Oryctolagus cuniculus: one gene and its partners. The protein of the gene in region 1 purifies or fractionates together with the protein of each later gene. This does not show direct contact. Links are inferred from orthologs where the notes say so. Each region holds a gene or a part of one and is shown on either strand. Other genes may lie near its edges.

Region 1 (3,742 bases):
CTGAACCACCTCTGCCTACCAGGAGAGCTCCCCACTGCACTGACCGCACCTGTCGGCCCACCCGGTGTTCGCCCCAGTCGGAACACAAGGTAGGTCACTGCCTCCTGGGCTGAGCGGTGCTTACGCGGAAGCTTAGCAGCAACCACAACAAAGGTATCCATGGAAATGCACCACAGGAAGAATCAAGAGATCAGCTCCAAAGGCGGGGAGGGCCCGTTCTGGAGGAGCCGCACAGGGCAGGAATGGGGATGGGTAGCCGTTAGGAGTCAGAGAGGCGGGAAGACCGCCCGAGGGGGCGAGGCTGGGCCCGAAGCCGCTCTTGCGCACCCCTAGGAGCACGGCAGAGCCCAGGCAGTCTCGCCGTGGCCAGCCCACAGCCTGCGGCTCTGCCCCCTCGTGAATTCTCAGCATCTGCACAAACATCCAGGCACTCGCAGCGGCTCTATTTCACTCTCGGTTCCCTCCAGGTGCAGCGCGAACTGCCCGGTCACATGGCTTTTGCAGTTTCAGGACTGCTCAGAAGTAGAGAGAAAGGTGAAGGAGCTGAGCTGTGAAGCCCAGAAGAGAGGAAGAACCCATTTTCTACGACCAAAAAATCAGTGAAAACACAACGAAATACCCTTGAGATTTCTGAATGCGATGCACACTCTAGTAGACTTTAAAAAAAAAATGCCAGCACAGAAGCGTAAAACCTGCTTCGTAAGCTACTTTTGCTTACTAGGAACAAAAGCGGAGCAATAAGGAGCCCCGCGAGGCGCAGGTGTCAACCAGAGTTCAGAGTGGGAGTAGCGGAAGCCGGTCTTCAAGGAATGCGGAGGATCTCCCGAAAACAAGGAGGGAGCAGCGAGGGAGAGGGGCCCGGCTAGGGGCAGCGGGAGAGGTGGTCCCAAGGCGCCAGAGACCTGTGGGCGACTTCCGCGGAGAGACACCTGGGGTTTCACGTCGCCCTGAGGGCGGCCGGGGTATTTCTACGAAGTTACAAAGCTGCTATCTTGTCCCCACTCCCCCACCCACGAAAGGTTTTGCTTTCAAATACTGGCAGGTGTGCGCTCCTGCAGGCGGGGCGTTCCTTTTCTATGCAAACCCGGGCGGCCCCGTGCTCTCCCGCCGACTTGCAGCGAGGGCTCGCGGGCTGCCCGGGTCGCCCAAAGTTTACCTCAGGAGAGCGGGGGAAACCCACGCCGCCCCCTGCCCTAAACCACATCAGGCAGGCGCGAGGAAGACTGGGGTGCCCGGTGACGCACGCGCAGCCAGATTGGGAAACCGCCGTTCCCGAGCCGGAGGCGGCCTCCGCCGAAGCGCGGCGACTTCTGAAAGCGCGTCCGCTGCGGGGTCCTGCAACACGCACGAATCTCTACTGCGGTCAGAACGAGATGTGAATTCGAAAACGTGCAGGACGGAGTTCCCGCAAAGACACGCGAGGAGAGTGGGGGAGAAGAGACCCAAACTGCGCAGCTATAGCCCGCGAGGAAAAAACTACGATTCCCAGCATCCAACACGGCGTACCCTCGGTGTGTGGCATGCCGGGAAATGTAGTTTCTTCACCACCAACAAGCCACCCGAAAGCCTTCAGGGGGGTTTCAATCTCTCACGTATTGCTTCTCCGAGAAGCACTGACAAATAGAAAGGTGACTTGGAAGTCGCGCTGGATTCGGTCCCAACGGGATCCCGGGTGTAGACGCCAAAGTGTGAAGAACCCGTTGTCATGGCTACCGTTTCCCCTGGTCACGGAATACACGCTCTCTAGGATCCGGAAGTGTTTCCTCCGCGACCTCTCAAAAAAGGACGGACGTGTGTGGAGCTTACGTTCATTGGACGATTTCCTCTAGATGCTAAGGCTTCCCAGGCAAAGGGGCGGTTCCGCGTGCGAGGGGCCCGCGGAGGTATGTGATTGGACAAAAGCTGTTACCCATGCCCAATCGGAGGGAGCCACGCTTCGGGCATCGGGCACCGCACCTGGACAGCTCCTATTGGCGGACTGTGGTCCCCCCCGCGAGTCCCCATTGGGTGCCTGGGGTGCGTGGTGCGGTGCGATTGGTGGATTCGTGTTTCCCGTCCCCCGCCCGCGGGCAGTGGGGGTGAAAAGCGGCCTGACCTGCTTGCGGTGTAGTGGGCGGACCGCGCGGCCTGAGGTGTGAGGCTCGGAGCTTGGGGTGGAGGGGTGGAGGCGGCTCCTGCGATCAAAAGGGACCTGATACCCGCCGGCCGCGCGCCATGAGGGCCCTGTGGGTGCTGGGCCTCTGCTGCGTCCTGCTGACCTTCGGTGAGTGATCCTGGAGCCCGGACACCCCCCCCCCCGGCGCGGCCGCTTCTCGAAGGTTCTGGGGGCGTTGGGGAGGGGTACCAGGGCCCGCGGCGGGCCAGCGGGGCCATCGCCTTTCCTCGAAAGAGGCCGAGGGGACTACGTTGGCGCTCTTGCTGCTCTGGGAAGAAAAGAAAGGACGGAGTCGTTTAAATCCCCCGCAGCCCGCGTGGGTCCGCGCCCGGCGGTCGGGGCCGCCCCGGGCGGGGCCTCCCTTGGGCTCTGCCTTCCCCGGCTGCCCTCCCGGAGGGCTCCGGTCCGCAGCCACAGCCTGGGGAGCCCCCGCCCCGCTCCGGGCTTCCGTCGTGCGCGCGCTTCCGTTCTTAGACGTCGGCGGGGTCAGCGGGTCCAGGCCCGATTGCAAGCCCCCTCGCCAGAGGCTGCACGAATCTGGTTCGTGTTGTGACCCGGGCCGGGGCAGGCCGGGATTTGGGCTTTGGTCTGCTTGGGAGCCCCGCGCGGCGGCGCGCAGCACGTGTGGCGGGGGCCCTGAGCCACGCGAGTCGCGGGGGCTCCGTGGGGGCGCCGCGCAAGGCCCGCCTCCCCCTCCCCCGTGCACCGCGCGTGTTTCGCAATCCCTGCCCTTGCCCTGTGTGACCGTGTTCGCTGTCCCCCAGGCTCGGCCCGGGCCGACGACGAGGTGGACGTGGACGGCACCGTGGAAGAGGATCTGGGGAAGAGCAGGGAAGGGTCGAGGACGGACGACGAGGTCGTACAGAGGTCCGTGCTGGTCGGCAGCGCCGCGGGCTCCAGGGATCCCCATTAAAGCTAATGCTCCCACATTGGGCAGGAAAGTGTTAGCAGGAGCGAGGTGTAACGCATTATCTAAGAGTCCCTTAGCGTGAGCTTTGGATGAATTCCTTTGAAAACTGTTTTGCTGACTTGCCGTGCAGAGTGCTGGCCCCTTGAGCTTTGTAAGGCCTGAGAGAAGACTTGCAGTGGGGTTTGCACTCGCCGAGTGCGTGCACTGACTGGTTTTCTGACGGGTTTCTGTCAGTGGAGTCTCTGCCGTGGAGCAGTGTGGGTATGGGTATGACTGCTCCTTGGTCAAGTTGGGCAATTTAAGAATCTCGGCGTGACCCTCTGGGAGCAGAGGAGCTGGTACTTGGTGGTCGTCTTGGAAGGCTTCCGTTTACCCGTCTAACCCTCAGGACAGTCTTCAGGGGCCACTTGAGCCGTCAGCACAGAGGCTGTGTTTTTAAAGGTACTAAGCATGCCGTATTTGCCTACCTGATTTCCTTAGAGAGGAAGAAGCCATTCAGTTGGATGGACTCAATGCATCCCAAATACGAGAACTTAGAGAGAAATCTGAGAAGTTTGCCTTCCAAGCTGAAGTTAACAGGATGATGAAACTTATCATCAATTCATTGTATAAAAATAAAGAGGTAAGCAGCCTGGGTTAGGGTGATACTTTGTTTTGTGGATTGGCATACTTGTTTA
Region 2 (3,742 bases), on another chromosome or scaffold:
TGCCAGAGGTCCAAGCCCAGCACGGCAAAGCTGTCGTAGGCATAGATGTTAGCGTCGGGCGAGTACTCGGGGTTGTCGATTTCGGGGTGGATCCAGGTGCCTTTGTAATCGGGGTTGTCGATCTGCCGCGGCTTCCACTCACCCTGTGTGTGTGTGTTGGGGGGTGGGGAGGATACACAGAGGGGTGAGTGGAAGCGGGCGCGCGCCCCACGGAGAGCCCCCACCTGCCCAAGACCCCGCGGCACACCTTGTACTCGGGGTTCTGAATCACCGGCGGCTCCCACTCTCCGTCCATTTCTTCGTCCCAGTCTTCGGGCTTCTTCGCGTCCGGGTCGGGGATGTGCTCGGGCTTGTCCCAGTCCTGGGGGGTCGAGACCCGTGCGTGAGGCCAGCTGAGCACACGCCCCGTGCCTGCCCGCCACACACGTCCCCCACCCGCCACACGCTATCTGCCCTGGGCCCCAGCAGCCACCTCGGGCTTGGAGTCCGTGGGGTCGTCGATCTTGGCCCGCTCGTCCCAGTCTTCGGGCTTCGAGGCATCTGGGTCCTTTATCTTCTTGGGGGGTAGGAAGTCCCAGTCATCCTCCAGGGAGCCCGACTCCACCTGGCTGTTGTCAATCTTCACCTCATACGTGTTGTCCGGCCGCACGATCAGGGTGTACAGGTGTGTGAACTCGTCGTCCTGGGGGCGGGCGGGTGGTGAGCGGGCCCCGCCCACCCGCGGCCACCGCTGCCCGGGCCACCCCTCTGGCCACACCCACGGCGGGGGGCAAGCACCTTGCAACGGATGTCCTTGTTGATCAGCACGTTCTTGCCCTTGTAGTTGAAGATGACGTGAACCTTCTTGGTGCCGGGGCCACAGATGTCAGGACCTGGGGTGGGGGAGGGGACAGGGAGTGGGCTCAGTGCCCCCACCCTCTCTCTTTCCAAAAGGGAAGACATCTCGCCCTCAAACACAATCGGCTCCAGAACTCAATGAGGAAGTCCCCGGATGTGAGCACCAGGACCTCCGCTGGCTGCAACCCAGTCCCTTAGGTGTCCCCCCCAACCCCAGGGCCGTCTGCAGGCTCTCGGGGAGCCCCGCGGGGCTGGCCGGCTCAGGGGTGCGTCTCCGCCCCTCACCAAACATGATGTTGTACTCAGAGTCCCCGTGCATGTCCTTCTGGTCCAGGCCGGCCGGAAACAGCTTCACGTAGCCGCCCCCGCAGTCAATGTTCTGCTCGTGTTTCACGGTGAACTGCACCACCAGTGGCTGGCCCTTGTTGCTGAACGGCTCGAATCGGGCCGACAGGGCGTAGAAGCGGGCGTCCTGGCTGGTCTGCAGCCCTGGGAGGGCACGGGAGCGGGCGGGGTCGGGGTCGGGGTCAGGGTCAGAGTCAGATCCCAAGGACCCTCCCTAACACACCCCCTGCACCTGCCCTGGTCCTGCGGGAGAGGCGCTAACCACTGCTCCTTCCAACAAGCCGAGCCCCACGCGACTCCCGGGCACCTCACCTTTATCTTTCTCCTGATCGCCGTAGAACTTGCCCGAACTGAGGACGAATTTGCCAAAATCGGACTTGTGTTTGGATTCGATCCAGCGCTCGGTCCACCCATCTGAGAGGAGGTGGGGGGGCGTCACAGGGGCAGGGCAGGCCGACCACCCTCTCTCCCCCCACATCCCCAGCGCCCATCCATCCAAACACCTGCCAGGAGCTGCAAGGTGTGTGCGGTGGGGGGGAGTTAGGCAGGAGCGGCGATCTCCCCCCGGGGTGTCTCGAGGCAACCTCTGGGCGAACCCCAACTCCCGCCAGGAGCGGCAACTGCGTCCCCCACACTCCCCCGGGGAGGCGAGAGGCGGATCGCCCGCGGCTCCGAGTCCCCCGGGGCCGCGCCGTGTTGGTCCTCTCGGAGCGGTAATTACAGGGCCGCGCGCACCGCGGGCCCGGGCTATGGGGGACCCGGGCGAGCCAGGGCCCCGGCGTTACCTCCGTCCAGAAACTGCTCCTTGAAGTAGACGACGGGCTCGGCGGCGGCCAGGCCGAGCAGGCCGAGCAGCAGCGGCACAGGGAGCAGCATGGCGGGCCGAGGGGGCGGCGGCTCGCGGGCCCTTTAAAACGATCCTCCGGCAGCGGCTCTGCAGTACGGACGGACGCCGCCGCCGGCTGAGGGCTTTTATACCCGCCCGCCCCCTCACACCAACCTGACCCGGCCTCTAGGCCCGCCCCGTCCACCTTATCATTGGTCTGCAGCCACCGCTCTCCCTACCCATTGGGTGACGGTCGGCCCAGCACGTCAGGTTGTGCCTCGGAACGCTGGGTTCCCAGATGGCCGATTTCTATTGGCCGCATAACCGGCCAATGACGGTCGACCACGCGTTGTGGGGGACGCCTACTGGAGGGGTGGGGGCCGCGAGCCCCCGCTCCGGGCAGGTCACGTGACTGCACCCCAGCCGGACCCCGCCCTCGGCGGCTCGCGCGCGCTTCGGGCTCCCCACGGGGCGCTTTGGAGACCGCGCGCGGGCGCAGGTGTCCGGGCGCCGGGACCCTACCCCTATCCCGACGCGTGGCGGCCTGGGCAAGGCTCTTCCGTCCCGCTGCCTGCCCTGCATGTGGGGGACCTGCGTTCAGACGTGAACTGTTTCTCCCGCCCAGCTTGGGGCCCCCCTTCCGCGGGGGCTGCACCCCGGTGCCCCTGGCACCTGTCAGCCAGCTGCTGGGTGGCCCGGGGCAAGTCGCTTCGTTTCTGAACTCTCGGTGGTGCACAAAAGCCAGGGGTGGCGACCTGGTGCAGATGCTATCTGGTAGGAAACCTCTGTCAAGTTTGTTTTTTTAAAGATTTTTTTTTTCTTTTTTACGGCTGTGCACGCGCAGAGGGGGCGGAACTGCAAGAGGGGTCAAAGAGGAGGCTGGAGGCTGTGGCTCCCCTAATGGCAGTCATGCTCTGCCGGTCGTGGAAAGGGGCTTGTAAGCCGGGGTCTGCAGCGCCCGCACCCTCCATGGGCGCCGGTTCGAGTCCCGGCTGCTCCACTTCCGATCCAGCTCCTTGCTAATGTGCTTGGAAAAGCAGTGGAAGATGGCGTGGGCACGTGGGTGACCTGGAGGAAGTGCCCGGCTCCAACCAGCAGATGGAACATGCCCCCCTACCCCGGTCTGTAATTGTGACTTGTAAATAAATAAGAAAAAAAATCAAGCGGGTCCTCCCTTCTTGTGGTCTGCCACAAACAGCCTCGCTTTTGCAATTAAACGGCCATAGGCGAGAGGGTAGGGGTAGGGGGTTCCCTTTGGGAAGGGGGGGGGAAGACACAGACGGTAGGGAAGATACGGTTCTGGGGGCGTGGGCCGGGCTCCTGGGTCTCCAGGGGCATGGGGGACCGACAATGCCTTTCCCTACCTCTCCCTTCCCTGCCCGTGGGGGAGACCCAGAAAGAGGAAGAAAGACAAGTGGGGGGGGGGACCTGGGGGCTCTACTCTTTCTCCCAAACAATAGCATCCCACCTGCTGCCCCCCCCCCCCCCCCGGAAGATGGCCAAGTCCAAGTTGACTCCCAGGCCCACTACTGACCTGCCCAAGACACGTGGGTTTGGAACTTCCTGCTGGAGGGTGGGGACTACCCATCTTGTTTCCTCCCAACTTAAAAGCTACTTGCTAGGGGGCTGGCGCTCTGGCACAGAAATCTAAGCCTCCCCCTGTGGCAAAGGCATCCCATATGGGCGCCTGGCTGCTTCCTCTTCTGACCCAGCTCCCTGCTAATACCCCTGGGA
Region 3 (3,742 bases), about 46 Mb from region 1:
GGCCTGAAGGGCATGTGGATAGCCGGCACTGAAACAGGCGGCTTACCCCTTCGGGTTTAGGGCCTGGGAGAGCCCCACCTCACTGTCCCAGGCCAGCCTGCCCTCCTCCTCTAGAAGGGGAGCTGTCACTGAGGGAGTTAAGACTCACCCGAACCTCAGCCTCCCGGGGCCTCCCATTGAGGTCGCACTTGGACCCGTTGCCATAGGTCTGGCTGTGGTAGCGTTTCAGGCGATGCTGCTTGGAGGCCTGGAGAAGACATCGGGCCGCAGGGAGAGGGTGTGAGAAAGACGGCAAAGAGAAAGGATGGCACCCCGTCCCTGCTGGGACCTTGAGACCTCAGAACCCTGGCCCTAGGGCACTGGGTCCTAGTGGCCAGCAAGGCCCTAGAAAGTCGTCGGTGAACCTGACCCTCCCCTTCTCTCCAGATCTTTCATCCTGCAGCCCAAAGCCCTTTCTCCTCCAGGCCCAGGCTCCCGCCACCTTGGCTGTTTCGTCATCCCAGTCGAAGGCCGATTGGTAGTAGCCGAGATACAGGACTTCACCTTTGATCTCTGAATCTGCAAGAGAAGCCACAGGGAAGCAGTTACTGTCTTCTAAGAGGAGGCAGCGGGAGGAGGGCTGGGGAGGCGGCCACCTTCCACACAGGGGAAACGGACGAGCGAGTCACCTTCCATGTGGTACTGCTGGATGTGGCGTCCATAACAGAACTCGTACGTCCACCAGTCTTTGGTCTGCCAATTACAAAACGAAGAATGGGTGGGCCCAGATGCAGATGTCTCTTCTCGGAACCAGCCCTGGGCTCCAAGACACATAACCTCTTGTCTACTTCTCATCTCCCTCCACCTCCACGCTCAATTCTCCAGCCCCTCACTGAGAAGGAAGAGCTGTTTTCCTTCTGTGACACAGAGAACCCCAAACTCTGTTCTCTGCCTGGGATCTCCCACCTTTTTTGTTTTCTTCCAGATTTTGTTTTTAATCCTTTGCCTTCCATAAAGATAAGGAATCGTGTTATCCTTGAAGCACTCAGAGCAAGTCAACTAGCACTCCTGGCACTATGCTAAGCACCCGGAAGGCAGCCATGAGCAAGACCAAATGACCTCATGGAGCCACATTCTAGAGCTTGGGAGTCAGACCAAAAATAAACAAACTCATTCAGTTAATATTCATCTCCTGAAAAGTGCCATTATAATAAAAAAAAAAAAAAAGTGGGATACTGTGACGAGTGACAGAAGGGGCTGACTGCAGGAGGTAGGCTTCCCCGAGGAGCCGCCCCTCCTGTGCCACAGTGACACCTCCTAGTCTGAGATCGGCCGTCCCGTGTCTCAGGTTGCAGGAGTCTGCTTCTTTCCTGGCTGTGTTACACGCCCACAGGTGACCACTCCCGGCCTTCTAAGCTCCTACAGGTTCCCCAGGTCCCGCTCGCACTCGTTGGCACCGCAGCTGTCAGAGCGGCTGCCGGTTCCCAAGCCCGCGCTCCGTCCCCACAGGCCGTCTCACCTTGAGCAGGCAGGGAGCATCTCTCATGGGGCTCAGCAGCTCCGGGATCCCAGGCCCTTGGTACGCGGGTGTCTCCTCCTCCCTCTCCCGCTGGAAGTGGATAGCTCCAGCGGGCAGGCGACACTCGTAGCGCTGTTTGTACTTGGAGGAGACGATCACCACGTCCGAAGCTTGGTTCTGGGAAAGAAGGGAAGGTCGGGGGCTCCGACGCAAAGAGAGGCTGCGATTATAGAAAACACCCGGATCCCTCTGCGGACCCTGGGGAGGAGCCCAGGCGGCTACAGAAGGAGCCAAAAGGCCTCCGTGGTCTGGGGGGCACTCCCACTTCTCCACGGAGGCGGAGACTGGGTGTTGCACCGTGAACCCCGACCTGCAGGCTGACAGCTGGAACTCCTCTCCCCCCAGGCCCCGGGCCCCAGGGAATGGGTCTCAGGCTGCGATCACCAGGAGTCACTGTAACAGCCCTACCTACTCTTCCCGATCCCCTTAGGCTCCCCCCAGCCTCCGCACCTGCCTTTCTTTCTCTACCTTCTCTCCTCCTTCCTCTTCTACCTCGGACCCTCACCCCTCACACGCCTTCTCACCTGCCCTCCCAAGACTGGCAATGGCAGGATCTCGATTCCATAACGCATTTCACTCAGCTCCTCCAGGTTCAAGCTCCCAACACCGCCGGTCAGACTTGCAGGTAACAACAGCCCCAGAAGCAGCAGCCCCAATAGGCTGGACAGCAGCGTTTCCGCCGCCATCTTTCGTTCCCCTTCTTAACCAGAGAAGCTCCTTCCGCCCTAAACCTGGCAGCGGCCTCACCCCTCCCACTAGCGCCGCAAGTTCTCATTGGCTACACGTTCTGTCCCTCTCACGTACCTGATTCCCATTTGTAAACGTGGCTCCAAAGTTCCCGGGGAGGTGGACCACGACGATTGGCACAATCAATCACTGCGCGTGATTGGCCAGAGATGCCAACCAATCAACGACGAGATTAGACCCCCACCCCTTATTCCCCCAATTCCATAGAGGCGTGGTCTTGCCCTGGGCGCTTTTTGGCAGCTTTTCGCTCTCCTCGGCCAGCTGTCCCGCGCATCTCTGCTTAGCGTATTTTTTAGACGTTTCATGCAAAGTGTCCCGCCCCGCGCAGAGCGGAGTACTGGGGCTGACGGATAGGTGTGTGCGATACCCGTGGAAGTTAATGAACACTTTTTGCGAAACAAGCGATTATTAGAATCATACCTCATTTCATATATACACTACTTCAGGGCAATCAGGTAATTTGTGTCAGACTTTCTGCACGATCCTGCAGTTGTTCTCCAATAAAATGATCCTAAAGGAATCACGGGAGCTGTCAGTGAAAGACGGAGTAAGGTGCTAATGCACGTATTATTGTAAAAGAAAAAATAAACACACACCAAAGAACAAAGAAGGAAAGGAGGCAGATGCAACGTCTGCGAAGCTGGAAAGCCGGCAGAGGAACGGCAACCGGCTTAGCAGAATGAGAAAATCGGCCCCTAAACAAAGGTAAACATGAGCATGGTGCCGCTGGAAAACGTTCTCTGGGGAATTTCTCCAGCACAAAAGGAAAATCCCAAAGAGAAGCTGTCGCAGTGAGGCACACAATCCCACAGGCAAGCCCCAGCCCTGAGCTGACTCCAATCTGCTTGTTGACCTCCTCGCTCTTAACACAGCCAGGCAGTGTCCTTAGACGTTCAAGGAAGGACTTTAAAGATACAAGAGAGAAACAAAACCAAGCAAGCAAAGAGAAAAAAAAGCAAATTAAAGGTAATAAAGATTAGGGGAGGGCAAAAATAAGACAAATATTTTAAAATTTAAAAACCCCACCATCTGTAGCCTCAGAAAGGTGAAACAGTGTATCCATAAAATGACAATGGAAGCTGGTTTTTTAAAGATTTATTTATCTGGCCGGCGCCACGGCTCACTAGGCTAATCCTCCGTGGTGCCGGCACACCGGGTTCTAGTCCCGGTCGGGGTGCCGGATTCTGTCCCGGTTGCCCCTCTTCCAGGCCAGCTCTCTGCTGTGGCCAGGGAGTGCAGTGGAGGATGGCCCAAGTGCCTGGGCCCTGCACCCCGTGGGAGACCAGGATAAGTACCTGGCTCCTGCCATTGGATCAGTGCGGTGCACCAGCGATTGGAGGGTGAACCAACGGCAAAGGAAGACCTTTCTCTCTGTCTCTCTCTCTCACTGTCCACTCTGCCTGTCAAAAAAAAAAAAAAAAAAAAAGATTTATTTAT

The links.
Region 2: the proteins of HSP90B1 (region 1) and CALR fractionate together in Homo sapiens (co-fractionation; 4 studies listed by BioGRID, with this or other methods). This does not show direct contact. The link is inferred for Oryctolagus cuniculus from reciprocal best matches to the Homo sapiens genes HSP90B1 and CALR.
Region 3: the proteins of HSP90B1 (region 1) and OS9 purify together in Homo sapiens (affinity purification with mass spectrometry; 6 studies listed by BioGRID and IntAct, with this or other methods). This does not show direct contact. The link is inferred for Oryctolagus cuniculus from reciprocal best matches to the Homo sapiens genes HSP90B1 and OS9.

Annotation. Positions count from the first base shown.
Region 1 is NC_091442.1:106,766,771-106,770,512, forward strand, and holds the start of HSP90B1 (endoplasmin), read left to right. Parts: upstream 1-1,374; 5' UTR 1,375-2,214; coding exon 2,215-2,263; intron 2,264-2,919; coding exon 2,920-3,022; intron 3,023-3,545; coding exon 3,546-3,687; intron 3,688-3,742.
Region 2 is NC_091447.1:62,399,625-62,403,366, reverse strand, and holds the start of CALR (calreticulin precursor), read right to left. Parts: upstream 2,116-3,742; 5' UTR 2,059-2,115; coding exon 1,968-2,058; intron 1,597-1,967; coding exon 1,495-1,596; intron 1,327-1,494; coding exon 1,123-1,326; intron 873-1,122; coding exon 778-872; intron 683-777; coding exon 473-682; intron 362-472; coding exon 248-361; intron 144-247; coding exon 1-143. UniProt on the Homo sapiens protein: Calcium-binding chaperone that promotes folding, oligomeric assembly and quality control in the endoplasmic reticulum (ER) via the calreticulin/calnexin cycle.
Region 3 is NC_091442.1:60,274,492-60,278,233, reverse strand, and holds the start of OS9 (protein OS-9), read right to left. Parts: upstream 2,308-3,742; 5' UTR 2,245-2,307; coding exon 2,083-2,244; intron 1,676-2,082; coding exon 1,499-1,675; intron 733-1,498; coding exon 669-732; intron 559-668; coding exon 482-558; intron 248-481; coding exon 149-247; intron 1-148. UniProt on the Homo sapiens protein: Lectin component of the HRD1 complex, which functions in endoplasmic reticulum (ER) quality control and ER-associated degradation (ERAD).